Ovis aries: one gene and its partners. The protein of the gene in region 4 interacts with the protein of the main gene of each other region in a pairwise test. Links are inferred from orthologs where the notes say so. Each region holds a gene or a part of one and is shown on either strand. Other genes may lie near its edges.

Evidence for each region.
Region 1: the proteins of NIF3L1 (region 4) and RABAC1 interact in binary tests that used the Homo sapiens proteins (3 or more experiments, as listed by UniProt). The two-hybrid records come from large-scale screens. The link is inferred for Ovis aries from reciprocal best matches to the Homo sapiens genes NIF3L1 and RABAC1.
Region 2: the proteins of NIF3L1 (region 4) and NATD1 interact in binary tests that used the Homo sapiens proteins (3 or more experiments, as listed by UniProt). The two-hybrid records come from large-scale screens. The link is inferred for Ovis aries from reciprocal best matches to the Homo sapiens genes NIF3L1 and NATD1.
Region 3: the proteins of NIF3L1 (region 4) and CDKN2C interact in binary tests that used the Homo sapiens proteins (3 or more experiments, as listed by UniProt). The two-hybrid records come from large-scale screens. The link is inferred for Ovis aries from reciprocal best matches to the Homo sapiens genes NIF3L1 and CDKN2C.
Region 5: the proteins of NIF3L1 (region 4) and DMC1 interact in binary tests that used the Homo sapiens proteins (3 or more experiments, as listed by UniProt). The two-hybrid records come from large-scale screens. The link is inferred for Ovis aries from reciprocal best matches to the Homo sapiens genes NIF3L1 and DMC1.
Region 6: the proteins of NIF3L1 (region 4) and DHPS interact in binary tests that used the Homo sapiens proteins (3 or more experiments, as listed by UniProt). The two-hybrid records come from large-scale screens. The link is inferred for Ovis aries from reciprocal best matches to the Homo sapiens genes NIF3L1 and DHPS.
Region 7: the proteins of NIF3L1 (region 4) and BEND7 interact in binary tests that used the Homo sapiens proteins (3 or more experiments, as listed by UniProt). The two-hybrid records come from large-scale screens. The link is inferred for Ovis aries from reciprocal best matches to the Homo sapiens genes NIF3L1 and BEND7.

The regions. Positions count from the first base shown.
Region 1 is NC_056067.1:50,855,831-50,859,810, forward strand, and holds RABAC1 (prenylated Rab acceptor protein 1), read left to right. Parts: upstream 1-1,180; coding exon 1,181-1,236; intron 1,237-1,515; coding exon 1,516-1,728; intron 1,729-2,053; coding exon 2,054-2,151; intron 2,152-3,560; coding exon 3,561-3,662; intron 3,663-3,744; coding exon 3,745-3,833; downstream 3,834-3,980. UniProt on the Homo sapiens protein: General Rab protein regulator required for vesicle formation from the Golgi complex. May control vesicle docking and fusion by mediating the action of Rab GTPases to the SNARE complexes.
Region 2 is NC_056064.1:34,974,254-34,978,448, reverse strand, and holds the start of NATD1 (protein NATD1), read left to right. Parts: upstream 1-1,395; 5' UTR 1,396-1,410; coding exon 1,411-1,618; intron 1,619-4,195.
Region 3 is NC_056054.1:25,433,819-25,437,269, reverse strand, and holds the end of CDKN2C (cyclin-dependent kinase 4 inhibitor C), read right to left. Parts: intron 1,256-3,451; coding exon 878-1,255; 3' UTR 501-877; downstream 1-500. UniProt on the Homo sapiens protein: Interacts strongly with CDK6, weakly with CDK4. Inhibits cell growth and proliferation with a correlated dependence on endogenous retinoblastoma protein RB.
Region 4 is NC_056055.1:203,282,316-203,285,815, reverse strand, and holds part of NIF3L1 (NIF3-like protein 1), read right to left. Parts: intron 3,392-3,500; 5' UTR 3,367-3,391; coding exon 2,931-3,366; intron 2,083-2,930; coding exon 1,920-2,082; intron 1-1,919. UniProt on the Homo sapiens protein: May function as a transcriptional corepressor through its interaction with COPS2, negatively regulating the expression of genes involved in neuronal differentiation.
Region 5 is NC_056056.1:216,055,378-216,059,579, forward strand, and holds the start of DMC1 (meiotic recombination protein DMC1/LIM15 homolog), read right to left. Parts: upstream 2,801-4,202; 5' UTR 2,672-2,800; intron 776-2,671; 5' UTR 743-775; coding exon 692-742; intron 48-691; coding exon 3-47; intron 1-2. UniProt on the Homo sapiens protein: Participates in meiotic recombination, specifically in homologous strand assimilation, which is required for the resolution of meiotic double-strand breaks.
Region 6 is NC_056058.1:11,115,727-11,119,756, reverse strand, and holds the start of DHPS (deoxyhypusine synthase), read right to left. Parts: upstream 2,801-4,030; 5' UTR 2,677-2,800; coding exon 2,470-2,676; intron 2,228-2,469; exon of another isoform or gene 2,024-2,227; intron 1,900-2,023; coding exon 1,735-1,899; intron 1,544-1,734; coding exon 1,422-1,543; intron 1,335-1,421; coding exon 1,238-1,334; intron 1,137-1,237; coding exon 1,050-1,136; intron 619-1,049; coding exon 513-618; intron 433-512; coding exon 329-432; intron 1-328. UniProt on the Homo sapiens protein: Catalyzes the NAD-dependent oxidative cleavage of spermidine and the subsequent transfer of the butylamine moiety of spermidine to the epsilon-amino group of a critical lysine residue of the eIF-5A precursor protein to form the intermediate deoxyhypusine residue.
Region 7 is NC_056066.1:27,526,944-27,530,443, forward strand, and holds part of BEND7 (BEN domain-containing protein 7), read right to left. Parts: intron 890-3,500; coding exon 624-889; intron 1-623.

The DNA of each region.
Region 1 (3,980 bases), on a different chromosome or scaffold from region 4:
CTAAGCACCATGTGTTGTAACTAAGACTTGATATAGCCAAAAATAAACAAATAACATTTTAAAAATTTTTTAGAAGGCTGAACTCTAGAAATAATTATAACAGCCATGATAATGTAGTGGCAATAGCATGGACTATTGTTTATCAAACAATTATGAAATATCAAGACTCTTTCAAGCACTTTACATGGATCATTCAACCCAATCTCAATCCCATGAGTGTGGTACTCCCAGGATCTTCACTGTCCAGATGAAGACACTGAGGTTCAGGGAGGTGATGAGCTCAACACAGCTTGAAGTTTGACCTCTGACCCCAGAATCCCAGCTCTTTTCGTTATGACATCTACATCTTTAAAAAATTCTCACCCCTTCAATAAAACTGGACAAAAAAATGATATATGAAAAAATAAAATCTCAACCTTTCCTCCCACTTCCCTTCACCCTAACCAAGGCAGGGGCATGCCTAGGTCCCTAATCCTAACCCATTCATCCTTGGGAGCCCAAAGGTGGGGGTGGAGCTTTGCTCCCCACCTTAGACACCCCTCCAGCAACTATGGTCCCATCACTAGCCTGTTAAAGAAGGAAGGAATAGACTCCCACTAATTCTTTACAGTCTCGCTATTCAAAATGTGGGCCATGGAGCATCACCAGAAGCATCAACATCACCTAGAAACTTGTTATAAACACGGATGAAGGGTCTCACCCTAGATCTGCTGAATCAGAACATCTGAGTGTTTTATTAAGTGTTTTTTTATACCTCCTAGAGACAGAATGACAGCTCTACACGGTCCCGGTTGTAGCCTGCACGGGGGAGTACACAGCGTCTTCTTGCCTTTAGAGCTTGCCTAACGCCCTGACTCCTGATAACCCACCTTCCCGGACTCCACAAATCCTAATTCGGAAACTACAACTCCCACAATGCCCAGAGGGGCGCTTGGTTCTTTTTACACGACTACAACTCCCAAAGTGCTTCGCGAGTCATGCCACCATCATGGTGCCCAGTCTCCCCGGCACCATCAGGACTACAACTCCCACAATGCTCGGCAGCAGAACTACCGTTCCCCAGCGGCTCCAGAACGACTACACGTCCGCTCCAGCTCTGCTGGGTGAGGCCGTTCTCGGGCGGGGCCCGCGGGGTCTGCAGAGCCCTGGGCTCCTTAGTTCTTCCCCAGACAACACAGACATGGCGGCCGAGAAGGACCAGCAGAAGGATGCCGAGGCGGAAGGACTGAGCGCCGCGTGAGCAACCGAGACCCGGGAGTCCTGGTCCCCCGACCCCTCCCCCCTGGGGGGTCCTAGGAATCCCGGCCTCTAGACATAAGAGTTTGGGCCTCTGTTGTCCTCTTCGAGGACTCTGGAGCCTGGACCCTCAGCCCCTTTCTCCCCTGAGATCCAGGAGCCTGGGACCATTATCCACCCCAGAACCCCGGAGTCCGGCCCCCCTCGGTCCTCTTCTTGCTGGAGGGTCCGGACTCCATCCCGGTCGGTCGATCGCTGACGTGACCCCTCACCCATCAGGACCCTGCTGCCGAAACTGATTCCATCTGGCGCGGGCCGCGAGTGGCTGGAGCGGCGCCGTGCGACCATCCGGTCCTGGGGCTCCTTCGTGGACCAGCGGCGCTTCTCGCGGCCCCGCAACCTGGGCGAGCTGTGCCAGCGCCTCGTACGCAACGTGGAGTACTACCAGAGCAACTATGTGTTCGTGTTTCTGGGCCTCATCCTGTACTGTGTGTGAGTGCCTCTTCGGCCCGTCGGCGCCCCGGTCCCCACCCCCTCCAGGCTGCGTGGCCCGCTCTGGCCGACCGCGCCCTCAGCATCCGGCCCCACCTCTCACTGCCCGGGCCCCATTCCCATGGGATGTTCTGCCGGAAGTTTTCACCGAAGGGCCAGGTCCCTAGTTCCCCCATCAACCTGGCCAGGATACAGTGTGACCAAATGTGACCTAGACTTCCCCGGCCCCAAGCGGATCGCCTGCCATCCGCCGATGGGAAGGTCAGGGCCTCCTTGTCGGGCCTAGCCCCGGCTCCCTGACACACGGCTCCCTGCCCCCTTCCAGGGCGACGTCTCCCATGCTGCTGGTGGCCCTGGCTGTCTTCTTTGGCGCCTGTTACATCCTCTATCTGCGCACGTTGCAGTCCAAGTTTGTGCTGTTCGGTGAGAAATCCCTTGCCCAGACTGTTCACATCCTGGTCTCTTGGAACGCAAACCTTTTGACACCAAACCCAAGTCCTTTCGAATCCATGTCTGCCCAAGCCTCTATCTACACTAGATTCCCCCAAACTCGGTCCCTTAAAGTCTCAGACACACCTGATGCTCCCACCCACTCTCAGCGCCCCCAAGTTGCTATCCCCCAAGTCTAGAAGATACTCCAGAACCCACCTCCGTCTGACTCCTTAAACCTCCTTCACTCTCCCTTCTGCCTAACCTCCTGCTAACGTCAGCTGCACGTACCCCCATCGGCCACCAGGTGGCGACTTCCCACTGGCCTATATCCGTGCTCCCCCTTTCCTGCTTCCTGGGGAGGAAGTGGAAATCTTGGGATTTCTGAGAGGGAGGCTGAGCCCTGTGGCTCAGGTGGTCCCAGATTGACACCGGAAACACCACTGAGAAGAAAGACAAGCCTGAGGACTTCCCTGGTGGTTCAGTGGTTAAGACCATGCTTCCAACGCAGGGGGCATGGGTTCCATCCCCCATCAGGGAACTAAGTCACACATTATGTGTGGTGCTGGCAGAAGATTTAAAAATAAAACAGAGGGCTCTGAGTTCCCAACTAGGGGATGCTCAAGGACTTTGGAGTGGGGCTAAGGGGGAATTGGGCTCAGATGAACAGGTAGACCTAAGACAGAATGCTTCAGAAGCCTGCCGGTCACGTAGGTAGGCTGGGTGGAGGGGCGCGCCGGGCTAGCCCAGGGCATGGAGGGAGCGCTTGGAGTATAGACACGACTTGGCTTCAGCCACAGCTGCCACCAGTACCTGCAGATCCAACCTTCCAATCCACCACGAGAAGCCAGACATCTGTACAGCTGCCCCTTGGTGTCCATAGGGGGTTGTTCCAGGAGCCCCATGGCTGGCAACGTCCACCAATGCTCAAGTCCCTTATGAAAAATGATGTAGTACAGCGATCCACGGGTTTCCATCTGTGGATGCAGAGGGCCGGCCTATTGTTATGTGAAATTACCCAGTTTTTCTGGCAGCCACAAACCAAATTCTGATGGAATAATGTGCAGACTCAAAAGACACATCCCCAGGTCAGATTTGGCTCTTGGGCTGCCAGTCGGAGGTTCCAGATCTGCACTAGTGCAGGTTGGAGCAGGAGAACTAGTCAGGAGAAGGAGGCTGGGAGCTTCCTAGCAGAAGTGGGGTTGAAGGGCAGAGGGCAGGGGGCTGAGGAAGGCACTCTGTTCCCACGGTCAGTGGGTAGGGCCAAGGGCTGGAGGGCCTTAGCACAAATTTAGATTAGACCCTGAGACTCCCAGAGCTTGCGAGGTTTGGGGGAGCATCAGGGGTTACTCTGGGAGGAGGCACGAGTCAGAACAGCTGCCCCAATGCCCTCTGCCCTGCAGGCCGGGAGGTGAGCCCCGCCCATCAGTATGCTCTGGCCGGGGGCGTCTCCTTTCCCTTCTTCTGGCTGGCTGGCGCGGGCTCCGCCGTCTTCTGGGTCCTGGGTGAGTACAGGGTCTGGGCAGCAGTGTGGGCAGTGGGGGCCTGGTGAGGCCACCAGGCCCTGAACTGCCCATTTTCCTGCAGGAGCCACTCTCGTAGTCATCGGCTCCCATGCCGCCTTCCACCAGATGGAGGCTGTGGACGGGGAGGAGCTGCAGATGGAACCCGTGTGAGGTGGCTTCGCGAGAGCCCCCAGCCTCTTGAGCTAGCCGCCTCTGTTCACCCCGGTCCCACTCGGCTCTGGCCAAAGGCCCCCTTCCCACGTCAAGACCAGGGAGGGACTCCAGCTTTGGAAATAAAACTGTTACAGTTGTTGAGCA
Region 2 (4,195 bases), on a different chromosome or scaffold from region 4:
AAGAACACTGAATCCTTAAAGGGCATACTATATGATATTGTTCACATGAAGTTTTAGGAAAAGCAAATTAGTCACAGGGTAGGGCAATGGCTGGAGGGGGAAACACAAACGATGGGCATCTTAAATCGGGCGGTGGTCACGTGGGAATGACATCACGCTCACGCCTTCACCAGCAAACTAATAAAACCTGCAGTCACGTGACTCGGTGGGCGGCTTTGGATCCCAGCAGTTGGGGAGGGGGTGGGGGGGAGGTGTTGTCCAGTCCTCTTTCAAAAATGTAGTCTGTTCCCCACTCACCCACCCAGAGTCCTGTGTGTCCTCAAGCAAGTCCCTGGCCCTCTTGGGACTCAATCCCCCCACCCCCACCACCCAGTGAGTGGGTCCAGGGATCTCCAAGGAGCTTCCCACATTTGTTTCTGGGGTTAGAGGTGGCCTTTCACCAGATCGCAAGCCAGGCTTCTCGGGACAATCGTTCCAGCGGTGTGTGACCCTCGCAGGTCTTCCCCAGGCGCCTGTGTCAAGCGCACCTACTTCTCGGCTTCATGAGCGCTTTCTGCAGCTTCCGGGGCTTTGCTGCGCGCAGGCACACAGCAACCACTGAGTAAATGGTGGCTGCGAGGGGACGGTTAGAACTGCCCTATAGGTCGAAACGTGTGTTTGAGACGGGGTCCTTGGGGGGTCCCCCAGAGTCTCCTGCAGGTCGGGGCCAGAGGCCCAAAGGCCCCAGCACAGAGCTGTGCGCGGCGCTGCGCCTTTAAGAGGCGAACGGAATGTATCAAAACAGAGCGGCTGCGCGCCCACTGGTCGCGCGCCGCACGTGACCGCACAGCTGATTTCCTGCTCCCCCCTTTTTGTTGCTGCGGCCGCCGCCGAGTGTCAATTTCCGCGCCGCCGCCTGCGGTCGCCCCCAGTGCGGCTCCGCGCGCTGCCCCCCGAGCCCGCCGCGCGCCCCTGGCCCGGGTCCGAGCGCCCATGGCGCAGTCGCCGGCAGCAGCGTCGCCGGGCGCGCCGGAGCAAGGCTGCCCCATCCGCGTGGAGCACGACCGTCGGCGTCGCCAGTTCACCGTCCGGCTCAACGGTAACGCCGGGCCCGCCCGCCCCCGCCTTTTGTCTGCGCGCCGCAGGGCCGGGGGCGCACTCGCGGGCCAGGTGGGGGCGGGCGCCCAGGGCGGCGCGAGCCCGGGAGCGGCGGAGGCAGGCGCCGGGCGGCTCCGGTCCCGCCTCGGCCCGGGGGAACCCGCACCTGCTTGGCCCGGCTGTTTTCCGGGATCCTGCCGAGGTCCCGGGGAGAGGGTGTCCCGCCATTTCCCCATTCCCGGTGTTGAGTGGCTTCTGGCTGCCTCTGCGAATCTTCGCTTCTTTGCTCGGAGGGGGCTGGAAGACCCTGCTAGACCGACCGGGGGCTGACGGATGGAGGGGCTTCGGCCCGTCAGGGGCGGGGCGGGGCGGGTACGGGGAGGGACGTTGTCTCCTTCAGACCCCGGCGGCTTTGGGGCTTGGCCAACTTGCCTCATCTCTGTGCGCCCGTTTCTCGCCTCTACAGTGGGATTAACTCCTGGCTGGTGGGAAGAATTGGATGCCCCAGTAAGAGTGAGGTTCAGAACAGCGCCTGCGGCAGGTAGTCAGTGCTGGAGGACTTTACTGATTTTTTTTTTTTTTTTTTTTTTTGCTGGCAGGGTCTTAGTTGTGGCATGCGAACTCTTAGTCGCGGCAATTTTGATTTTTTAGTTGGGGCCTGTAGGATCTAGTTCCTTGACCAACCGGGCGCCTTGCATTGGGCTCTCACTGGACCACCAGGGAAGTAATTGGGCATTACTTCTTAAACCAGAAGCGAAGTCAAGCCCTTCACCGCTTCCTAGTCCACGCCCCCTCCGCCTGATTGAGAAATGGAGGGTTGAATTCCTGGCATCCCACCCCTCTCTGTTAATAACTTTTTCCTCCCTCCCAGCTGGGCCTTCTGTGGTAGTGCCCAAGCTGGATGGGCCCGTATGGGCCACTGTGCCCTTGTCTGAGGAGGGAAGGGCGAGGCTTCCTGAGGTCAGGCAATGGGGGGAGGGGCAGAACTCGAATAGGGTCTTGTCTGGGCGGACTCCTCCCACCTGCGCTTGGAGGTTCTGTCGGAGCTGGGACTTCACCTTCTCAGACCCCATTTGGCTGTGCTCGGCTTCGAACCCGGCCCCAACACACGTCTGTTACAACCTACTCGTGACGTGGCCGTCACCACCCTGTGTTCAGAGGAGTAAGCTGAGGCCCCCGCAGGCCAGAACTCAAACACGTTTTCCTTCCTCTTCTCCGATATAGTGCCCACCCTGGCGCACCTGGCCGTGACTCTCAGGGCTCCCCTGCTACTCTCATTCCAAGAGGCCCCCTGGCTTTTCAAGGCTCCTGAGAGGCCTCTGATTTCCTTGTGGGTGTTCAGGAGACCCTCAACACTCAGAGAAAGAAGAAAAAGGGGACTTTTGGGGGTGTTCCTTCTTTTTTTCCCTAATGAGTACAGCCATTAGGGACATCCTCTTGAGTTGGCTGGGGTCAGGACTGGATGAGCCCAGCTGCCTTTGTAAACTTGTCCTGTCTGTCGCCTCCTGCTCAGATGGCTGACTCTAAAGTGGACCAGGATCCTTGGCCAAGTTCTCACCAGTCTACAAGACTGGGCTGTGTATCCAGGCTTGAAATGGTCTGGGTGTGTACAGGGGTGGGCCGAGGGCTCCTCTGTGCCCAGGCCCCAACCCTGCCTCAGCTGAGGAAGGGAATGGCCTGCCATGGTTTCAGCCAGGCCCTGGAAGCCAGCTCACTGTGCCCAGTGAGAGAGGTGGACACTGAGGCTGAGAGGTGGAGCAGCCCTGTGGCTCTTAGCACAGGTGTGTGCCAGCCATCCCCTGGCAGAGCTAGGCTGGTGAGTCCCCAGCAAGTTCCAGGTCTGGGGAGGAAAGAGCAGCTGTGTGCATTCAGTCCTTGGGTTTCCGGCTTGCCCCTCGCACTGGAGTCACTTACTTTATCCTCAGCATTGCGGGCGGTGTTGGTGGAGGGGCTGCTCTGCCCATTTTACAGAGGAGGAGACTGAGGCTAGGATAGGAGACTGACCAACATGCCTGCAGTCTTGCACCTTGGAGATAGAAGAACTAGGATTCATGCCACAAGTGCTTCTTGAGAGCTTACCATGTGCCACACATTATTGTAAGTGCTGGGGGCTCAGCCATCTGAGGGTCAGTGGACAATAAAGCATAGACCATCCTGAAGAACAAGACCTGTGAGAAATAAGGTTGGGGTGTTGGGAAGATGCCGGTGCTTTTTGTTTGTTTTTTTGGCCACACTGCATGGCATGTGGGATCTCAGTTCCCCAACCAGGGATCAAACCCTGCCCTCTGCAGTGGAAGCATAGAGTCTTAACCACTGGACCACCAGGCAAGTCCCAAGGGCTGTTGTTTAGAGTCAGGTGTCCAGGAGGACCACCCAAGAAGGAGGCAAAGAAGGGAGCTACGGTGGCAAGAGTGCTCCTTGTGGAGGGGGCGGCAAGTGCAAAGGCCCTGGGGTGCCTGATGTGTCCTGGGAGAAACAGAGCCAGGCCACAGGACAGAGGGCATCAAGAGGCATGGAGGCAGGTGGTGCGGGGCTGTGGCAGGCATTATGAGAACTTGGCCTTGACTCTGGGTGAGATGGGTGCCTGGGAGGGTTCTGAGCAGTGGGTGGATCAGATGTCATGGGCTCCCTCAGGCTGCCTGGGGGCAGGCAGTGTGAGCAGATGGGGAGAAAGCCCAGTTCCTCGGTGCTTGCTGAAGGAAGCGTGGATGGGGTGCTGACATGGGGTGTGAGAGGACATGGGTGCTCAGGCTTTTGTCTGACTGCCCGATCCAGGGCCTGAAATGCTGGGGTGACACGTGGGCTAACCTCAAATAATGAGGACCCAGCCCTGGGGGACTCTAGGGGAGGTGCCAGGAAGAGGGAGCAGCTGGCTGAGGCAGGTGGCCCTGAGGGCCGCGGGGAGGCCGCTGAGCTGAGGATGGGCGGGGTCTGACTCTGCTTCCATGGGGGGTGCAGGGGCCAGTGGACATGTGAACAGTGGTCAGATTCCAGACAGATATTGAAAGTTCTGCCCATGGGCCTGCCGAAGGCTCAGACTGGCATCTGAGAGATGTGCGAGAAGGACCCCAAGCACCTTGGCCTGGCTTGTTCGTGGCCGTGTCTCCAGCTCCCGAGA
Region 3 (3,451 bases), on a different chromosome or scaffold from region 4:
GAGAAAAAGCCATTGTTACACTTAGCATACTTATGGTATACTTTTGGGAAATATACTATTTAACCAATTGTTTCATTTTGTGATTTAAAAAAATCAACAAATGGGAAGCACTTTTTAATGGCAATTTCTTTTTGAAGTGGCTTTTAGGGCTAACATATATTTGATTCCAGATTGTTACTTCTGAAACCTGTTTTTCAACGACTTAACTTTGAGAAAAAAGGAAGATCAAATATTAGGATAAGTCTACACAGAGGTAATTTCAGGTTTGATTTCCAAAAAAATGTGTTCTTACTCTATTTTAAAGCAGACATATTAGGCATCAAGTAAAATCTTTGCTGGGAGGCATGAGGAGAGAAAGAAAAGCATTTAACTGGATCATCAATAGAATATGTCTAGTTCTAATGTCAAGACTTAAAACACCATGATCTTTCAGTTTACTTCTCCTTAGCAAGAAGCATATCACGTGTGGATTATAAGAGGAGTGGAAATCACAGAAAACATTGTCCTGTTTTGAAAATGTGTTTTAATCAGGCAAAAGAAGCATCAGGACAAACCATTTTAAAAACAAAGTCTCCAAGTTGGGTACTGAGACTGGCAAAGGGAGAGGCAAGGAGAAAAGTCAGGGAAAGATAAAATATTCAGAAGAAAGCCAAAGCTTTTGCAATTACATGTTAGAATTCAGGGTTTTGCAGGTGAAAGAGATGTTGCTTAAATATATTCATAAAGCTGTAGTAAGATTTCCACTTGGCAGTTTCAGAGGCTTTAACTAACTGCTTAAAATATGACAAAACTGAATTTTAACAAATGATATTAAAATAGGACAGCCAATCAATTAACTGACAAAACAGAAGGCAGCGTGGGAGAGCCCTCCCCACATTCATTGCAGATTCGCAGCTCCCTCCGCCCGGTTGCCCTCCATGAGGCTAACGACCTCGTTTCTCCGGTAGAGCCTGGCCAAGTCGCAGGCGGTGTCCCCCTGATGGTTCCGATGCCCCACTTTGCAGGCCGTATGCTTCACAAGGAACTCCACCACGGGGAGGTGGCCTTCTTTGGCAGCCAAGTGCAAGGGCAGGTTCCCTTCATTATCCTCGATGTTAACATCAGCTTGAAACTCCAGCAAAGTCTGTAAAGTGTCCAGGAAACCTGCTCTGGCCGCATCGTGAATGACAGCGAAACCAGTTCGGTCTTTCAAATCGGGATTAGCACCTCTAAGTAGTAGTCTCCTGGCAATCTCCGGATTTCCAAGTTTCATAACCTAGAAAAGAAGAAAAAACGGTAGAATCCTTCAAGCGCTCCTACTACAAGACTATTTTAGAATATCCATCTTTCTATTTATGTAACTTTTTTGGTGAAGGAGTGCTTTGGGAGGACCCATGTGATGGAGTTTGAAGGGCTCAGTTGCAGCAGATGAGTACTATTAGGTAAAAGTAGAAGAAAACTTCTAAAAATTGAGCTTCTATGATGGAATATCTTAAACGAGCCATCAAGTAGGATATATTGATTAATAAAAATAGAATGAGTACTATTTGTACAAAATTCGCTGACAACTCAGCTCTCTGTCTCCCATAAAGAGTTGTGTAATTTCATGAATTTATTAAAATAAAAAATGGAACTTGAGATTTAAGTAAGTCTTCTGTTTGGTTCGTCATGTTCATAAACTGTGCCTGGGGTATTGATTCTGTAAAATTAAATGTGGGTAAAATTTTTCTTAATAGCTAAAAAGAAGGAGAATGAGCTTCTTTAAATCCTCAAAGAAATGCTTCCACACACCAGACTCCATCTAGGCTGATTTTACCAGTGTAAAAATGATCTCTTAAAAATCCAAACCTGGTATTTTCTTAAATTATTAATTTTCACACGTTCTCTCCAAACAGATAAGCCCCAAGTTTCCAAGTAATTAAAAATTTTTTTTCTTTGCAATTATTTCATGTGGGTTACTAGGTGTATTTAGTGCTTAGAATCCTCCACTTGAAAATTTAAAATGTTATTGAATATTAAAGTGTTTTTTTAAAAAAAGCAAGTGTTTTTTACATTGCCAATGATACTGATTTATCTAAAACATAACATATTAATGATGTGCCTGTATTAGATAGGAAAAGACTGTATGGCAACTGTTCTTAAAAGGAATGGAACAGTCATTCTACTATTTTACTGTCTCCTAAAAAGTTTTAGGTAGCTTCCTAATTTCAATTCAGCAAAAGAAGAGAAAGTAAGATATTTAATGTATATTTTGGGACATAGAAAGCTTTGTCTGTGGTTTCAGCCTATTTGTTAATCAACTGGTGACCTCATCTTATTTCCTTTAGCAGTTATTATCAGGCATTTAGGAATAGTTATTTGTAAACTGGCAATATTTTAAAAGCCAGAATTTGATATTAAAATTTACTATCAACATACAACTAATTTACATGATAAAGACTTATATACTGGTGTTTGAATATATTTCACTCTAATAAGAGGTCTCTATTAGGCTCTCATAATTATAAAGTATTTTGTACAGCAGCATGAAATTATATAATACATATAATCTAGTTGTGAAAAAATATAGTCTCATTAACATGCAAGGAAATTTCAGCATTTTAATTGTTTTATTCCTAGGTATATTCATAATAACCTAAATTTATAGTAAACAGATTGCATAGTAGACACTCGAAATTAAATACATCCTGGAAAAACATACAAAGCTGATCTATCTCTTTAGAATGTTTGTTTTAAAAATCACAAATTAAGTAATATAAAATATATTTAGAATGAATAATATTTTATAAATTCAAACTATATAGATGACCAAGATGTTAAGCTTCCCTGTTGATAAAACTGCTGACTTTTGGCCCTTCCTTTGGGGCAGTGGTTAAAAATGATACATAATTTATTTTTTAAGAACTTAGATGAAATACACTTTTGGTTATTAAAAATTAACACAATCTAATTTTTACCACAATTGCCTCTAAATATTTAGTTACATTTAAAGACCTGAACTGGGAAAAATAGGAGACAGACACCTTGAATCTTTGTAAAGCAAATGTACGATCAGGGCCTTTGATATTATCCTGATTGAGAGGCTAACACTAGGAAGAGGGAAAAACCTTTTGTAATTCAGTTAAATAAACATTACTGTAGGAGAAATTTTGCCATATTCCACAGAAAATAATAGCAATGCTGGAAACTGTTTTGAAAGAAAGTTCTTTCTTGAGTTATGATACAACTTCAGAGTCGGGATTATACATACTGAAAACAAGCTTTGAGACTCCTGTTTGTGTGTGTTTCATTATATGTACTAGGACTAAGCCACAATAAGTGGGTGTTAATATCTTGATAAGTATGTTTAATACAAACAAGACCGCAGAGTTATATTAAAAATGTTTGTCAAAACTTTTGTTTTGCAGTATTAATCTCCTAGTCTTCCTGCTCGTCACAAGTCCTGCAAGATCCTATTCTTACAGGGTTAAGT
Region 4 (3,500 bases):
AACAAGTGTTTTAAAGCCCTAGAAAAGTTAATTTTCAAACATCATTGAATACAAGAATTTCCCAGACAGACTCTCAGGCAAATCCCATTCTAATTACACAGATCTAGGATAAAGCAAAAAAATCTGCATTTGTCTTTGTTTATTTTTAATTGAAGGATAATTCTGCTATAATCTTGCATTGGTTTCTGCCATACAACAACGTGATGCATTTTTCAAAAGCACCCATTATGCTTATGATTCAGAGGGTCCCTGAATCACCCTTTAAAAAGCAATACCCTTAGGAATTCCTTGGCCATCCAGTGGTTAGGACTAGGTGCTTTTATTGCCAGGGCCTGGGTTCACTCCTTGGTCAGTGAACTAAGATCCTAAAAGCCACGGGGCACGGCCAAAAAAAAATTTAAAAAGGAACATTTGAGAGCCTCTCCAAAAAAACTAGCATCAAGAAAGTTTTGTATTTAATCATAAACTCTAAATATAATCACAGAATTTGAGAACTAAAAGATACCTTACAAGATAATGTGGAAGCATAATTTTAACACTGGAACCATCTGCAGAGATTTGAAAAGAAGAAGCAAAAACAATGCCTGGTCCCCAGTCTAATTGTTAAGTCCCAGATACTCCTGTAATATGGAGAAACTGGAACCAAACTAAATGTGTATCAGTTCTTTAAAAGGTCCACCAGTTAGGAAGCAAAATGCTTCAAGAAATTATAGTACATTCATAATAAGAAATCTACATGGAAAGATTACTATGACAAGTAAACAGCATACCATTTAATTAAAAAAAAAAAATGACTAAAACAAAACTATACATTCCTTCATGTCCCTATACATGTTTGGAAAGATACTTCTCTGAAAACAAAAGAAAAGACAACTCGAGTTGAAGATCTTGGGACTGAGTAGAAGGGACAAGGAGGACTGTGGTATTGTTTGAAGTTTCCATGCTCTATTTGTATAATTTTAATTTCAGTATTTACACAGTGTTTCAGAATGGTAAAAGATATCTATGACCGAAATCTATGCAAAATCTTATAAATAATTTTCCTTAAGGATCTTGAAATCCCTCAATACTATTAAAGGATATTTACTATGGCTTTAGTATAATGTATCTACACGTAAAAACCACTCACCAAAGAGTCATTCTTAGTGTAGCTTATATGGATTTCCATTTTAGCTTTGCACAGTGGCAGTTGAGATTTACCCAAGGCATGATTACTGCTAACAGATTTCCATTTTATTAAAAGGTCACTATATTTATCTTTGATTTTTTTATAATTATTAAGTCCTAGCTCTGCATAATGTGTCTTTTACAATGCTTTAGTAGGCAACCCACTCCAGTGTTCTTGCCTGGAGAATCCCAGGGACAGGGGAGCCTGGTGGGCTGCCATCTATGGGGTCACACAGAGTCGGACACAACTGCAGTGACTTAGCAGCAGCAGGGTAAATTAGTCCCAACATTTTTTGGTATCTCAGACCTAATTAAATAAATGATTGGCATATCTGAGAGGCATTTTAACGTATTTTTTCCCTTTCAAGTGTTTGGGAATCATCATTTGCTGGGAACTGATAAAAGTAAACCTATATTATCAGTATATCACTAGGGTTTATCCACATACCCTAAAGTAAAAATACCTTTCAACACTGTCAGGAGGATTAGAAACACTGTAAGATGTGTGGTTTAGTCCTTCCTGCATAGAAAATAGTCAACAAGCGTTATCATTTTTATTGTATTGAAAAGATCCCATAGTTTTCCTCCTCAGGGACCCATATGCAAATGAGAAGAATGCTGTTTTGTAAACCTACCAGAGGAAAATGATGCCACTTGAGGAAAATGATTTGTTGTAAACTTAAATAGCAGGGTTATAGAATTTGTAAGAAAGATTCTTAATATATACACAAAAAGAGGAAAATATATTGTACCTAGCAGAAAAAGAAGTCACAGATACACCTGCAATTTCTTTCAGTGCGGAAACGACTTTGTCCAGGTCTTGGGTATGGGTAACACTGAATTCTACTCTGTGAGTTCCCTCTGTGGGGTAGTCAGGAGCTTTGGAAGGATGGATGGGCCTGGAGGTGCAAACACCTAGAAAAAAAATTGTCAGGAGTTAAAAGAGATTTTGTGGGTTTTTTTTTTTAAATTAAAAACTACTACTGTAAGAAATGAGTATTCTTTAAAGGATTCATTCTTAGATGCTTCTATAATAAACACACACAACATGGTCCTTACATATACACCCAATAGTCCCCATAACCTAAGGATTTTGTATTGTCATACAGAATCATATTTCTTTTCAGAACTATTTTCCAGAAGACTCTTAAATATCACAGAAAGTTGGACAAGATTGACTCATGAATTTCTGATGACATATAGAATTGAGACTGCTTACTAAATTTACTTGTGTAAACTATGATTCAGGTCACAAAGCTCATAATCCACTTGACCACACTAATCCAGATTATATCATCACAGAAGCTTCAGCCCAGCACAAGGAAACTAAAAAGGCTTACCAAAAATAAAGCTAAAAGCACATACAGTGAATTCTCTCATTGTGCTGGGCATAAGGACTAATCCAGTGAAACTATCTGCCTGATATATGAAGTATATTCTGGAGAGGCCTGAGCTTTCGATTCAATTCAACAGGCTTTTCTGGAGTGCCTGAGTGCTAGGCACTGTGCCACTTGAGTAAGGAATCTCAAAGCTCAGCCAAAAATGAAGATTTCCCATGTGGTCTTTATTCAATAAGAATAAAATTTCATTTTCAAATATAATTTAATTGTCAGGTTTCAGCAAGGTTATTTTAAAAATACATAAAAACAGAATAATGGTTCCCATCCCTAAAGAGGTCAAAACACTATTGAAAAGACATTCTATAAAATTTCAAAGCACTGACAGGGAAAAAACTAGATAGGAAAGAACAAGAGGCTTCTCACCAAGCCCTTTAGCCAGCCAGCTGTTGACTCCCTGAGGAGCAGCGTCATAGGCGGTGTGAGGAGAGTAGATCCCAACTCTGTGCTCCAGTGCCCGGATTACCAGGCGCTCCTTCCATGTCTTCCAGGTGATGCGCTTCATGGGTCGGAAAATAGGCGGATGGTAGGAGAGGATGAGATCCGCCTTCTTCTGCAGCGCCTCCTCCATCACTTCCTCTGTCAAGTCATTGGTCAGGAAGAGCGTGTTTACCGTGTGTGGTGGGCTCGGTTCCACCAGTAATCCAACATTGTCCCAGCTCTCAGCAAATGAGAGGGATGCAAAGTCGTTCAAGGAGCAAAGGAGAGCCTTCAGATCCATGAAGGAACGGGAAGAGCTGTAGATCCGGGAATGGACCAGGCGGGCTGTCGTGGCGATCAGGAGTACACGAGATGACAACATGCAGAAGTCAGGCAGAACTGAGTATCTGAAGTCAAACACAGACTATGGAGGACGTGTACACTTCACAGACTCAAACCTTCTTAGACAGCAAAGTATATGAGCAAAAGAGCTGTAGTGTTACACTAAAAAAGACC
Region 5 (4,202 bases), on a different chromosome or scaffold from region 4:
ACAATTCCATGTTTTTGTAACAGGTCAATGTCTTGAAACAAAGATTCCTAAAGGAGATGGAACAGGAAAAAAAGAGTGTTCATTCTTCATATCCAACTGTTTCACATATTTTAAAGGCTTAATTCAGCATTATGAGTCACTTCAAAATGCCTCAAATTCTGCTTCTCTGGACAAATTGAGGTAGGATCAATAATACTTTTTCAAACATATTGTTGCATACTTAAAAGCAGTGCCAACATTGAAAGCACTAGGAAGCCCAATATGGCACTCAGCCCCCTGCAGTGGAAGCACACGGTCCTAACCACTGACCCACCGGGGGATTCCAACAGTCTCTCCAAACTTTTTAAGACCTTAATCCGAAAGAGTGGAACAACACAAGCTATTTTTAAATATGTTTTCTCAGTCTTCTCCACCAGACCTTGAACTCCTTCCTCTGCTATTTGGTACCAATATGGCCATGCCAATTGTTAAATTAAAATACTTTCATGCCAGCTGCTAAGTAGCTAATCTTAGCTCCCCTTGCCAAACAAGTTGTTACATATTTCTAATAGTGCCTCTCTCCAGAACTATGTTTTATTTCTAATAAATAAAAATAGTAGTTAAGTTCCTAAAAGTAGTAGTTAACAGAGAAGGAACTCCAATTTTGTAGAATGACTGAATATCTATGTATCTTTCAACATTCTAGGCATACATCTTCATCTTGGAATCCTGGTTCTTCCAGCACAACTTGATCCTCCTTCATATTGAAGGGTGAACAGCAGAAAAATAATCAATTCTGGAAAAACAAGAAATATTAATAAGTTGTCACAGATCATATAGTACAAAATCCTTTGCCCATACAATTTTTTATTTCATTTCAGTCATCAAGGACCAGAAAGATAATTAGACAAATATTAGACCCCATGAGCCACAACTACTGAGCCCAAGCATCACAATACTAAAGCTCGTGTGCCCAGGGCCCGCCTTCACACAAAAGAAACCACTGAAATGAGAAGCTTGCCCACAGCAACTAGAGTAGCCCCTGCTGGCCACAACTGGAGGAGGACAGCAAATAGGAAGACCCAGAGCAGCCATACATAAATAAAATTAAATTTAAAAATTCCTTAAAAAAAATTTAGTTTGGAATAACTAGGCTGCTGCTGCTAAGTTGCTTCAGTCATGTCCGACTCTGTGCGACCCCAGAGACGGAAGCCCACCAGGCTCCCCATCCCTGGGATTCTCCAGGCAAGAACACTGGAGTGGGTTGCCATTTCCTTCTCCAATGCATGAAAGTGAAAAGTGAAAGTGAAGTCGCTCAGTCGTGTCCAACTCATAGGGACCCCATGGATTGCAGCCTACCAGGCTCCTCTGTCCATGGGATTTTCCAGGCTAGAGTACCACAGTGGGGTACCATTGCCTTCTCCATAACTAGGCTGGCCTATCTTATTTCTCCTAAGCCTGTGGCATTATTTCTTTTTTCTGGTGTGGTATGTGTGGGTGAGGGGACTAGTTTCATTTATTTCCTCAAAAATGGCCACACTGTATCATCTTTTGATTTCCTATTGCACAGTTACTCATGACTACCAATATCTTTTTGTCGTCTTGGAAGGTTATTTAGAAGTAGAACCTTAGGATTAAATAATGATACTAAACTTTCATATTTGTTAACAGTCTAAGAACTTTGACTTTAAGTCTTCCTTGCATCCTCCTGGCACCTAGAACTTGTCTATCCTCAATAAAAAGATATTATTTTTTCTCATGTACAAGGACTCCCTTCTGCTTTGGAAAGATGAGGCGCTCTCTTGTAACATATTTTTTTGTTTCATAAAACATTAGATGTATTTCATTTTATAATATTAACTAGCTTCAAGATTTTAAGATTTAAAATTATGGTGGATAGTCTATAGGGACACAAAAGAGTCCGACATGACTTAGCAACTAAACAACAATAATCTAGTATTTTAATGATAAAATATTAGGGCCAATAAGCAGATAAAGCCTTTAACTCAGGAATCTACAAGGCATGACTGTGTTCGTTAGAAAATGTAGTCCAAATAATCAGTTTTGCTCTATTTCATCTCCTCACTGAACACCAAACTAAGTTGGGGCCCAGCCCAGTGGGGAACAAACTTCGGAGGCAGAAGTAGGGTCGTTATCACCTAGTACAATAAAGTATTCGAGGAGACAATGTAAACGGAATCTTCTGGAATGCGGTCCCTCACGCAAGATAGCTAATCATATACATGATAACCCAAATTCTGTAAGTGACTGTCCTTTCTTTCTTAATAAAAAGATTGTTCTCCATCTTTCTCAAATAGCAGTTGATGGAATGAACAGGTGAATCTAAAGTAGGGCTCCCAAACACCCTGGCTTAGGGCGCCAGAAGCGGTCCCTTACCGTGGCGAGCGCGGTCCAGGTCACCCTCACCGCCTCCCCACCCACCGGCCATTTTCCTGACACCGGACTCCCTCATAAGGGGCCCGAGGAGGCCTCTTAGTCCGACTTGGTTTAAAATAAGGATTCTGGAAATCCCTCAAGAGCACTCGACGGGGTGGGGATGGGAGCCGAAGAGCACAAAGCCACCAGCCTAGGGCCCAGCAACGACCGTCGAGCACGACCTAAGAAAGGAAGCCCCCACTTCCCCTCACATTCTTCACCCGCCTTCCCCTTTTGCCATAAACACCACTCGTACCCACAGTCTCCCCCAGGTTCCCAAGGTATTCGAATCCCGCCCCCGGCCGGGGCTTTCTAGTCCTCAGGGATTCTGATTCGGAACCAGAACGCTGAGACAGGCGTCCAACACGTCCAGACCAAGAGGTTTGGCGCCAAACTGCTAGTCTGAGCTCGCGCCTGGCGTGGGCGGGGCCAGGACGGGGCGGGGCGGCCCCACCAAGGGCAGGGCGAAGATTGAGGGGCGGGGCCCTAGACTCGAGGAGAACGGAGGTGCGGGGCCGCGGGAGCGTCTTGCGGGCAAGCTTCCAGGAGCCGCGAAAGAACCTGCGTGGGTGGCGCGCAGGGGTGAGAGAGCGACGCTGAGGTGGAGAGAGTGCACAGAGGAGAGGCGCTTTGGTTGGAGCCGAGGCTGGGCGTCTCTAGAGCGGAGGGAGATGCTGAGGTCAGGAACAGACTCTGAAGCGGGGGGCGGGGGGAGGCTGAGGCGATGCATCGAAATTAGGGGGTACTCATGGGAAATAGATGGGGAAACAGTGGAAACAGTGTCAAATTTTATTTTGGGGGGCTCCAAAATCACTGCAGATGGTGATTGCAGCCATGAAATTAAAAGACGCTTACTCCTTGGAAGGAAAGTTATGACCAACCTAGATAGCATATAGGTCCGTCTAGTCGAGGCAATGGTTTTTCCTGTGGTCATGTATGGATGTGAGAGTTGAACTGTGAAGAAGGCTGAGCACCGAAGAATTGATGCTTTTGAACTGTGGTGTTGGAGAAGACTCTTGAGAGTCCCTTGGACTGCAAGGAGATCCAACCAGTCCATTCTAAAGGAGATCAGTCCTGGGTGTTCATTGGAAGGACTGATGCTAAAGCTGAAACCCCAGTACTGTGGCCACCTCATGCGAAGAGTTGACTCATTGGAAAAGACTTTGATGCTGGGAGGGATTGGGGGCAGGAGGAGAAGGGGACGACAGAGGATGAGATGGCTGGATGGCATCATCGACTCGATGGACATGGGTTTGGGTGAACTCTGGGAGTTGGTGATGGACAGGGAGGCCTGGGGTGCTGCGATTCATGGGGTTGCAAAGAGTCAGACATGACTGAGCGACTGGACTGAACTGAACTGAACTGAGGTGGGCGCTGAGGTAAAAACAAGCTGCAGTGAGAGAGAAGGCCCTTAGGTGTGGCCCTTAGGTTCTGAGATGAAGAGAGGCCACTGGAAAGGGGTCAGGACGTGGAAGACCGTGAGGCAGGGGAGGGGTGCTAAGCAGAGGTGACTGATGTGGTGACAGGTGACATGCAGAATACTTATCTTAATCAGGATACTCAGGTTAGGAGGTCGAATATGGTGGGGGCACGGGGAGTGGGGGGAGTGGTGGTGGTTCTCCCTGCTCAAGGCTTTTCTTTTCACTTCAAGTTTTTCATATCTGGCTTCATAATCTGTACCTAATACCTCAGTCAGTGTTCCTAATTTCTCTCCTTTCTTTGTGACTCTCTTACCATTTACCACTCTAGTCTGTGAGTGAGGCACCCAAGGCCCATTCAGGATGGAG
Region 6 (4,030 bases), on a different chromosome or scaffold from region 4:
CAGCCTCTGAAAAACCTCTGCTCACAGGTCACACTTCCCAGGAAGCATTCCCTTTTCTGAATAGCATGCCTTTCTCCTGCCCTCTTGTCGTCATCCCTGATTTTTCTTTGTAGCCAGTACTGCCACCTGATGTACGTGTCACCTTGTCACTGGTTTGCTGTTCATCTCCCCCACTAGAACATCAGTTCCAGGAGGGCAGGGATCTTGGCCTGTCTAGTCCACAACTGTTTCCCAGCACACGGCATGGGCCTAGTACACAGGCCTGTCTGCACAGCAGGCACAAGTGCCACCCCTCACTAGGGGCCGCACAGCCTGCATCCCTGCTCACCATGAGGTTGGCGTTGGCGATGTGGTGCTTGACCATGCCACCACCCAGGATGATCATCCCCGTGCGCTTGGCGAAGATGGCCTGTGTGTTGATGAGCCTGAGGTCTGGGAGAGAGGGCTGAGTCAGGCCACTGCAGGCCCAGGCAGCCCTCCTCCCTTGCTCCTCCGGGGCCCCAACATCTTACCCTCAACAATGTCCAGGACCAGGCCTGGGTTCTTATAGGAGTGGAAGAAGATCATGTCACCCAGCGAGCCATCTGTGAGTGCCGGGCTCAACACAGGAATGTGGTTCTAGAAAAGAGCAAGACAGGAGGCGGGCCGGATCTAACCCCTGTAGGGGCAGCCTGCAGGCATTTCCTCTTCTTTGCCTGATTCTGGGCAGGGTGCTTAACTTCACTTGGGCCTGGCACATGAAGAATGATAGTTCTTGTTTTTCTGATTGCTAGACCCCAGAGCCTCTGAGGAGCATGGAGCCTTCCAAGAGTCCCCATAGGAGCTGCTAAGTATTTTCCAACTGCTTCCCAGCAGTCTAGGAGTAGAGCCAGAATACCAGATCCACAGTCAATAGCTGTAGGACCTCAGACAAACTGCCTAACTTCTCTTTCTGAGGCTCCTTATGTAGGAGCAGGGATGAGGAGACTAGTACCAACTACCCAGGTGGCTGTGAAAGTGAAACAACACATGCCAAAAACCTGGCATCTTTGCCCCCGCCAGTCCCTCACCTTCTGGGCCCAGTAATACACAGACTCCGGGTTGTTTATCTCCTTGCCAAGCCGGGCGATCATCTTGGAAGGTGTCCACTTCACACCCTAGGAGGAGACATTGGCTTCAGGCAGCGGCGCCTCCCCTGACACCCACCATGCCATCAGCAAACGCACCCTCCCCCAGCCCCAGGTTGCTCCAGCCTCACCTCTGTGTTCTGCTCCAGCACCATCTGGTCCAGAATGGGCATCAACCAATCCTCAAACTTGCAGTAATTGTCATTGGGCACCAGCAGGTTTCCAATCCTGGGGACAGAAGATGTATGGGCATCAGGGCCCAGGACCCTCAGCCTGCCTCCCTTACTCAGCACCATTCAGCCCCCACCTACCCACCGGTTGATGCCGTTCTCACGTAGCTCCTTCCCCCTGAGGCTGAACTCGCCCAGGTATGTGGGCGCCAAGCACTTGATGAAATCCTCCTCCACACCCCCAGCTGTGGTCACCAAGACGTCCACCTGCAGCCACAAGGCAGTGAAGTTATTCCAAGCAGAACTCCTAACTCCCAACTCTCATCCAGTGACCCCTGTGGGGACCTCTGCTGCAAAACAAAACTAACCCATATCTCCCTATCTCACTTAAATGACCAGTAACCTTATTGCCCATTAAGACGCGGGGAGCCCAAGGCCACACCCCCACCAGGTCCCACCATGTTGTGCTGCACGAGGTAACGGATAGTCTCACGGATGCCTGAACTGATGAGGTTGGATGTGTAGCCCAGAAAAATGGTGCAGCCGGTGAGTGGGCGTCGGCTCTGGGTCAGGTCTGCATGTTGGTCTTCATCCTCGGATAGAGGCTCGAGTTTCTTCTCTATCTAGGTATGGGCAGAGCTGAGTTAACCTCTGGCCCCAAATTCCACCCCAAGGACCCGCGGTGGGTTTTGGTGTCAGACTCCCCGCCCAGGATCTGCCCATTCAAGGACAGAGAACCACTTCTACCTGGAACAGGGGAAGGAACACCCTTGTGTAGGCTCTGCCCTGTTCACAGCCCAAGTCTCAGGTCACATGCTTAGGCTTTGCCCCTTTTCAGGAATCCGAGAGCATCACTTTTTCAGGCCCGACCCCTCTCCCCACGGGGAAATGCAAACTCAGGCTCAGGTCCGGGCGGGTGTAAGGGTCCTCCTCCAATTCTTCGCTCAAATGGACTTTCTAGCCCAGGCTCCGCCCCTTCCACAATACTTTCACCTATTATCTATAACGCCCGCTCCCCGCCCCGCCCCAGAATCAGTCCCAACCACTCCCCAGAACAGAAACTCCCGGGCCCCATACTCTCTCCCACTATTGGACGAAGAACACACCTCCCAGAGAAGTCCCGCCCCCAGCTACCGCAGGGTGCTACTGGAGGCCACTCCCCCTCAGCCCCGGAAGTCTCACCCAGGCCTCACCATGGCGTTTACTTGCTGTACCGCGCGCCCGAAGTTGGTGGCTTGGAAACCAGTGGTGCTGAAAGCCTCTAGCAGTGCGCGGTAGTCCACGCCGCGGTTGAAGTCGTAGCCCCGGACCTGCGCGCTCTCGAAAGGCAGTGCCGAACTGTGCTTCAGCACGGCGGCCAGCGCGGCCGCGGGCGCCTCCCTCTCAGGGGGACCCTCCATGGTCCTGCAGCTGCACTCTCAAGTCAGAGCCGCCCCAGGCCAGCCCTCTGGCGGCCTCGAACTGCGCTAGGCCCCGGCACGCACTTCTGCAGGAGACTCAAGGCCTGGGGAACACTTGGGGAGTGCCGGAAGTTGTGTAATCACGTGACTCGCCGCGCCCGGAATCCAGGGCGCGGCCATCTTGTCTTGTACAGTCCGTAATACGGAAGCCGCGAGGACCCATTATTTCTATTCCGTGCGTTCCCGGCCGCCGATGAATGATTTTTACTTTTACTGCCGCCTGCTGGAAACCCACCGCGTTGCGTGGAGCTTGCCGGTTCGTGTATACCCTCTCAAAGAGAGAATGGTTTCTCAGACGTTGCCGTTAGACGGAATTCGAATCACCTGGAGTTATCAGACAGTTTCTGCCTCGGAGAGTCTCTCGTCAAATGGAACCGTGATCGCTGTTCGTGTCTTGCGAGTCTCTGGAGCCTCCATATGCGGCATAACCCCTGGTCTTCTCTGGCAGCTGAGCTGCCATATCCTCTGAGAAATCTTCCTTGACTTTCCTCTGGGTAAGGGATCTCCTGTGGGATCCATGGCTGACATCTCTTTCCCTCTAGCGAGCCTGTGAGATGCTGGAGGGTGGGGTCTATAATCTCATGGGTCCTCCTAACCATGCATAGGGTTTAGTCCGGTGAGATCCCTGTAATCACTCACTCTACAATTTATGGAGTCTGCGCTATATACTGTGTGTTTCCCTGGTGGCTCAGTGGTAAAGAATTCATCTGCCAATGCAGGAGACACGGGTTTGACACCTGGGTCGGAAAGATGCCACATGCCTCCGAGCAACTAAGCCCATGTACCACAATTATTGAGCCTGTGCTCTAGAGCCTGAGAGCCGCAACTACTGAAACCCACGTGCCCTAGAGCCCATGCGTTGCAAGAAGAGAAGCCACCAAAATGAGAAGCCTGCACACCACAATGAAGAGTACCCTGAGGCCGGGTAGCAATGAGGTAGAAATATCCCAGCACAGCCAAAAATAATAAATAATTTTTTGTAGAAAAACCCTCTTATTGTGGCTTCCCAGTAAGAGTAATACTCGGGCTCTTCCTTGTGGCCTAAGAAGGCACTGACTTACCTACCCTCATCCCCTACCACTTGTCCCCACTCACTTTTCTCCAGCTCCACTGATCTGACTGTTCTAGAACCCAACAAGCTCTTTCCTGACCAAGCGCCAGTGCACTTGCTGCTCTCTCTGCCTGGAACACCTGCTTCCCCAGCTCCTCCTCCTCTGGGCCTCAATCCAAATGTTACCTCCTCCAAGAGGCCTGCCCTGACCACCCACTCTTGCTCTTACCTTGCTTTTATTTT
Region 7 (3,500 bases), on a different chromosome or scaffold from region 4:
AACGGTAAGTCAGACGGTTGTCTTAGATGCCATCCAGTATCTTGGGCTGTGACGACCTTCGAGCTATGATATTAAAATAGAAAAACCTTTGCAGAGTGTTAACCTATCATTACACAGACTCAATGGCACGGCACTGCAACCTAATTAGCAGTGTGGCTTGCATCCTTGCATCTATAAAATAGAATTAGTGTGAGTACTGCTCTTTTTTTATTATTAGTTTGTGTTTCTAGAAAGGTGTGACCTTATCTGTAGGGTTCTGCTCATTTATGTCCATCTACAAAGGATTTAATTACATTCTTTTAGCTCTCTATGCTGAGGAAATTGAAAACGGCCGCTTCGAAATTACAAATGTTAACGAAATTAGTGAACAGAATATTTACTCCATCACCCGTCTCCTTTCGGAGAGAATGGAAACATGCTGAGGTAAATAAGGCCTAAGATTTTCAGAAGAGAAAATTCTGGGCAAGGAGAGCATTAAGAGTTCTCCTTTCCTCTTTCCCACGTGTATTCTGCAAGTTTCTCTGGTTTTCTTGGGCAGAACTAGTGAAGGGCAAAGTGTATAAATATGGCACAGTGTCTGAAAGTTACATATTAGCATGAGCAGCTAGAAAACATCAACTTACATCGGAGGCTGGTGATTCGAGCACGATGCCGAATCCTAGAATGTGGCTCTCCCCAGGGGAGGGGTGCTCGGCCACGGGGAGACTGGAATTCTCGGGGGCCCCTGCAGCCTTCTTCTCAGCTTCCAATGCACTGGGCTTCTGTTTCACAGTGAGAGGTTCCATAGTCTTTGGGGGCACTTTTTTCTTTTTATTTCTCTTGCGAGAGACGGCAGTTCGCTGGGAGCAGATAAGGGAAATTGGGGGTTGTTGTCTGTTTTGGGTTCCAACTGTGAACAACAAACAAAAATATGGTACAGGCATGTGTGTCTAACCTAGGAGAATATTCTTGCTCCATCAACTGAGGCTGAAACGGGTTCACTGGAGGATGAGGCACATCAAGATCAACCTCACACTGAACCTGAGCATGACCAAATGCTGCCTCAAAAGGTCTACAGGCAGGAAAAACCCAAGAGAAAACTCTCCTCCAAATCCTGGTGGCTAATTGATTACCTGGTGGGTAATCAATAGGAGGAAAGGATGATGAGCTATAGGAAAACAGTGAAGCATGATTTTACGCATCACATGACATTTTTGTATAACCAAGAACCCCAGAACTTAAATTGAGGTGTAGACATCTATGTTTTTTGGAAAGCCAATCTCGGGAACACTCCACTTGAGATTAAACTGATTGGTAGACAGCAACCTACAGGTGCCGAAATTAACAAAAGTCGGGTAACGATGCTCATTTGGGCAAGTCTGATCAAAAGCATCGCTTGAGAATGACCAGTAAGCATGTGGGCTAGGTCTGCTGGTCAATTTCAGGTCCAGTTACTCCTGCCTCACAAACCAATACTGTGCACACATCAGCCATCTCCACACACTATGCTACTGCGTTCTGACCAGGCTGTTTCTCCATAATCCAGTTTTATGTAGCTGAAAAATAGGAAAAATATAGTTCAGTACAAGAACAAATCAGTAAGGTCCAGGAATGGTCTGAGTTCCAAAGACGAGAAGCGCTCATTGAGAGCTGAGTGCTGATGTTGAATATATACTTAAGGGAATCAAGGATGGTAATTACAGTTCTCAGAGGTACCCTTCAGGATGTAGTGTTTGTTAACCATTTAAAAATACTCTGATTTAAAGTTTAGTAGGGAAATATGGCATTATTACCTAAATCTTCATGTGTTAATATGGTTTTTAAAACTATGACCACAGCTGCTTTTTCACAGAAATACAGCTCTGAAAGTAAGCCAGATGAAAACCTAAAGATCTTGACATGCACATATGGATCATTTCTTATCAGGTTGTAAATGGGGAATATTTGTACTCTGAACTTGATATTAGCATCTCTCAGCTGGACAGAAATTTATAAATAAGTATTAGAAACACTACTTGCACTGCAAATGAGCACTGAAAAGTTTTTTTAATCACCCATGCAGTAAGCAGTCTAGCTCACTGGTTCTCAACCTCAGCTACACATTAGTCTCATTGGATTCACCTTTAAAAAAAAAAAAAAAAAGAAAGCCAGTGCCTCAGCCTCAATCCAGACTAATTGGGACTGGAATTTCCCAGGGAGATGCCTGGGTATCGGGATTTTTTAAAAGCTCCTCCAGTGATCCCCAATATATAAGCCGGACTGGAACTTTTCTCTGTTAGATCTGAATTTTCAGCTGAGGCTAGGTCTCCATTTGGAAAGTTAGACAACTGAAGCGGTCATCAGTGATCTAGGACTCCAGCCTCACCAAGCCTCACTTTCCAAAATTAAAAGCGAAAATGTTTCAAGTTTAAAGAACACAGGGTCTGAGGTTTTCTTCTTCTGCAAGTCTGGACAGAGCTGTGTTCTTTCGAACCAGATCTTATCGCTTGATCTTATTCCTTGCCTTCTCCCTGAAGTAAAAGTGAAACTTTCTAAGTAGAAGGTAAATCTACATTTTATAGGTAATAAACCTTAAAGTCAATCTACTCACTCAACACAGATTCTTCAGCTTAAGAAAATTAAAGGAGACTAATTTATTCAGTTCATCCTTTGGGATCCCTGACAGCTCTGGGGTCGTTTACTGCCCTAATCTGCAAAAGTTCTTAAAAGGAAACAGGGAGACACAGTGGCATTTACTTAATAGATTCTCAAAAGGCTTCAGTCAAGGATTTAAATGGTTGCAATTTGTAGTTTGCCATTTTGGGAGTAAGGAGCTTAAGTAACAAAATAAATCATTACCATTTCATACGCATATTTTCTTAAGTGCTAACAAATTCTTCCTCTGAGGAAAGAAATCTGTACAGAACGAAGTAACCTTTCTTTCTGAGCTCCTTATTTAGGAGATGTTAGCCTCTGCTGGGTTAATAAGAACACAGATTATCCTTGTGGAACAAGGTGAGTTAAATGCTTACTGGCCTGACCAAAATGCTTTCACTTTTTCCCTTAGGATAAGACTAAATCCAGTGCATAAAATTAGATGTTGCTTCTCAGAAAACCTTTTGCTCATTTTACTTGCACGTGATCTTGGGTGACTGATATGTTTAAGTTTTTTAAGTATCAAACCACATCACTGAATATTAACATTTTACTAGAATTAACTAAACGGCACCAAGGACGATTTCTGACCTGTCTGAATACCTTTACAGTGGAAAGGGGGGAAGTTAGTTACATATGACTGGGCCACTTTCCAGCTTAAGGAGCAGTTTTCCCTGATGAAGTGGAAGGCTTAATGAAATGATTTATTATTTTCTGTTGCTGTTGTTCAGTCACTAAGTTGTATCTGACCCTTTGGGACTCCATGGACTGCAGCACGTGAGGCTCTCCTATGACAAAAAAAGCTTTTTCTCTCCTAATTTTGGAGACTAGAAATCACAGCGACTGTAATAAGGACCTAGACTTCCAGACTTCTAAGAAATGCTCCA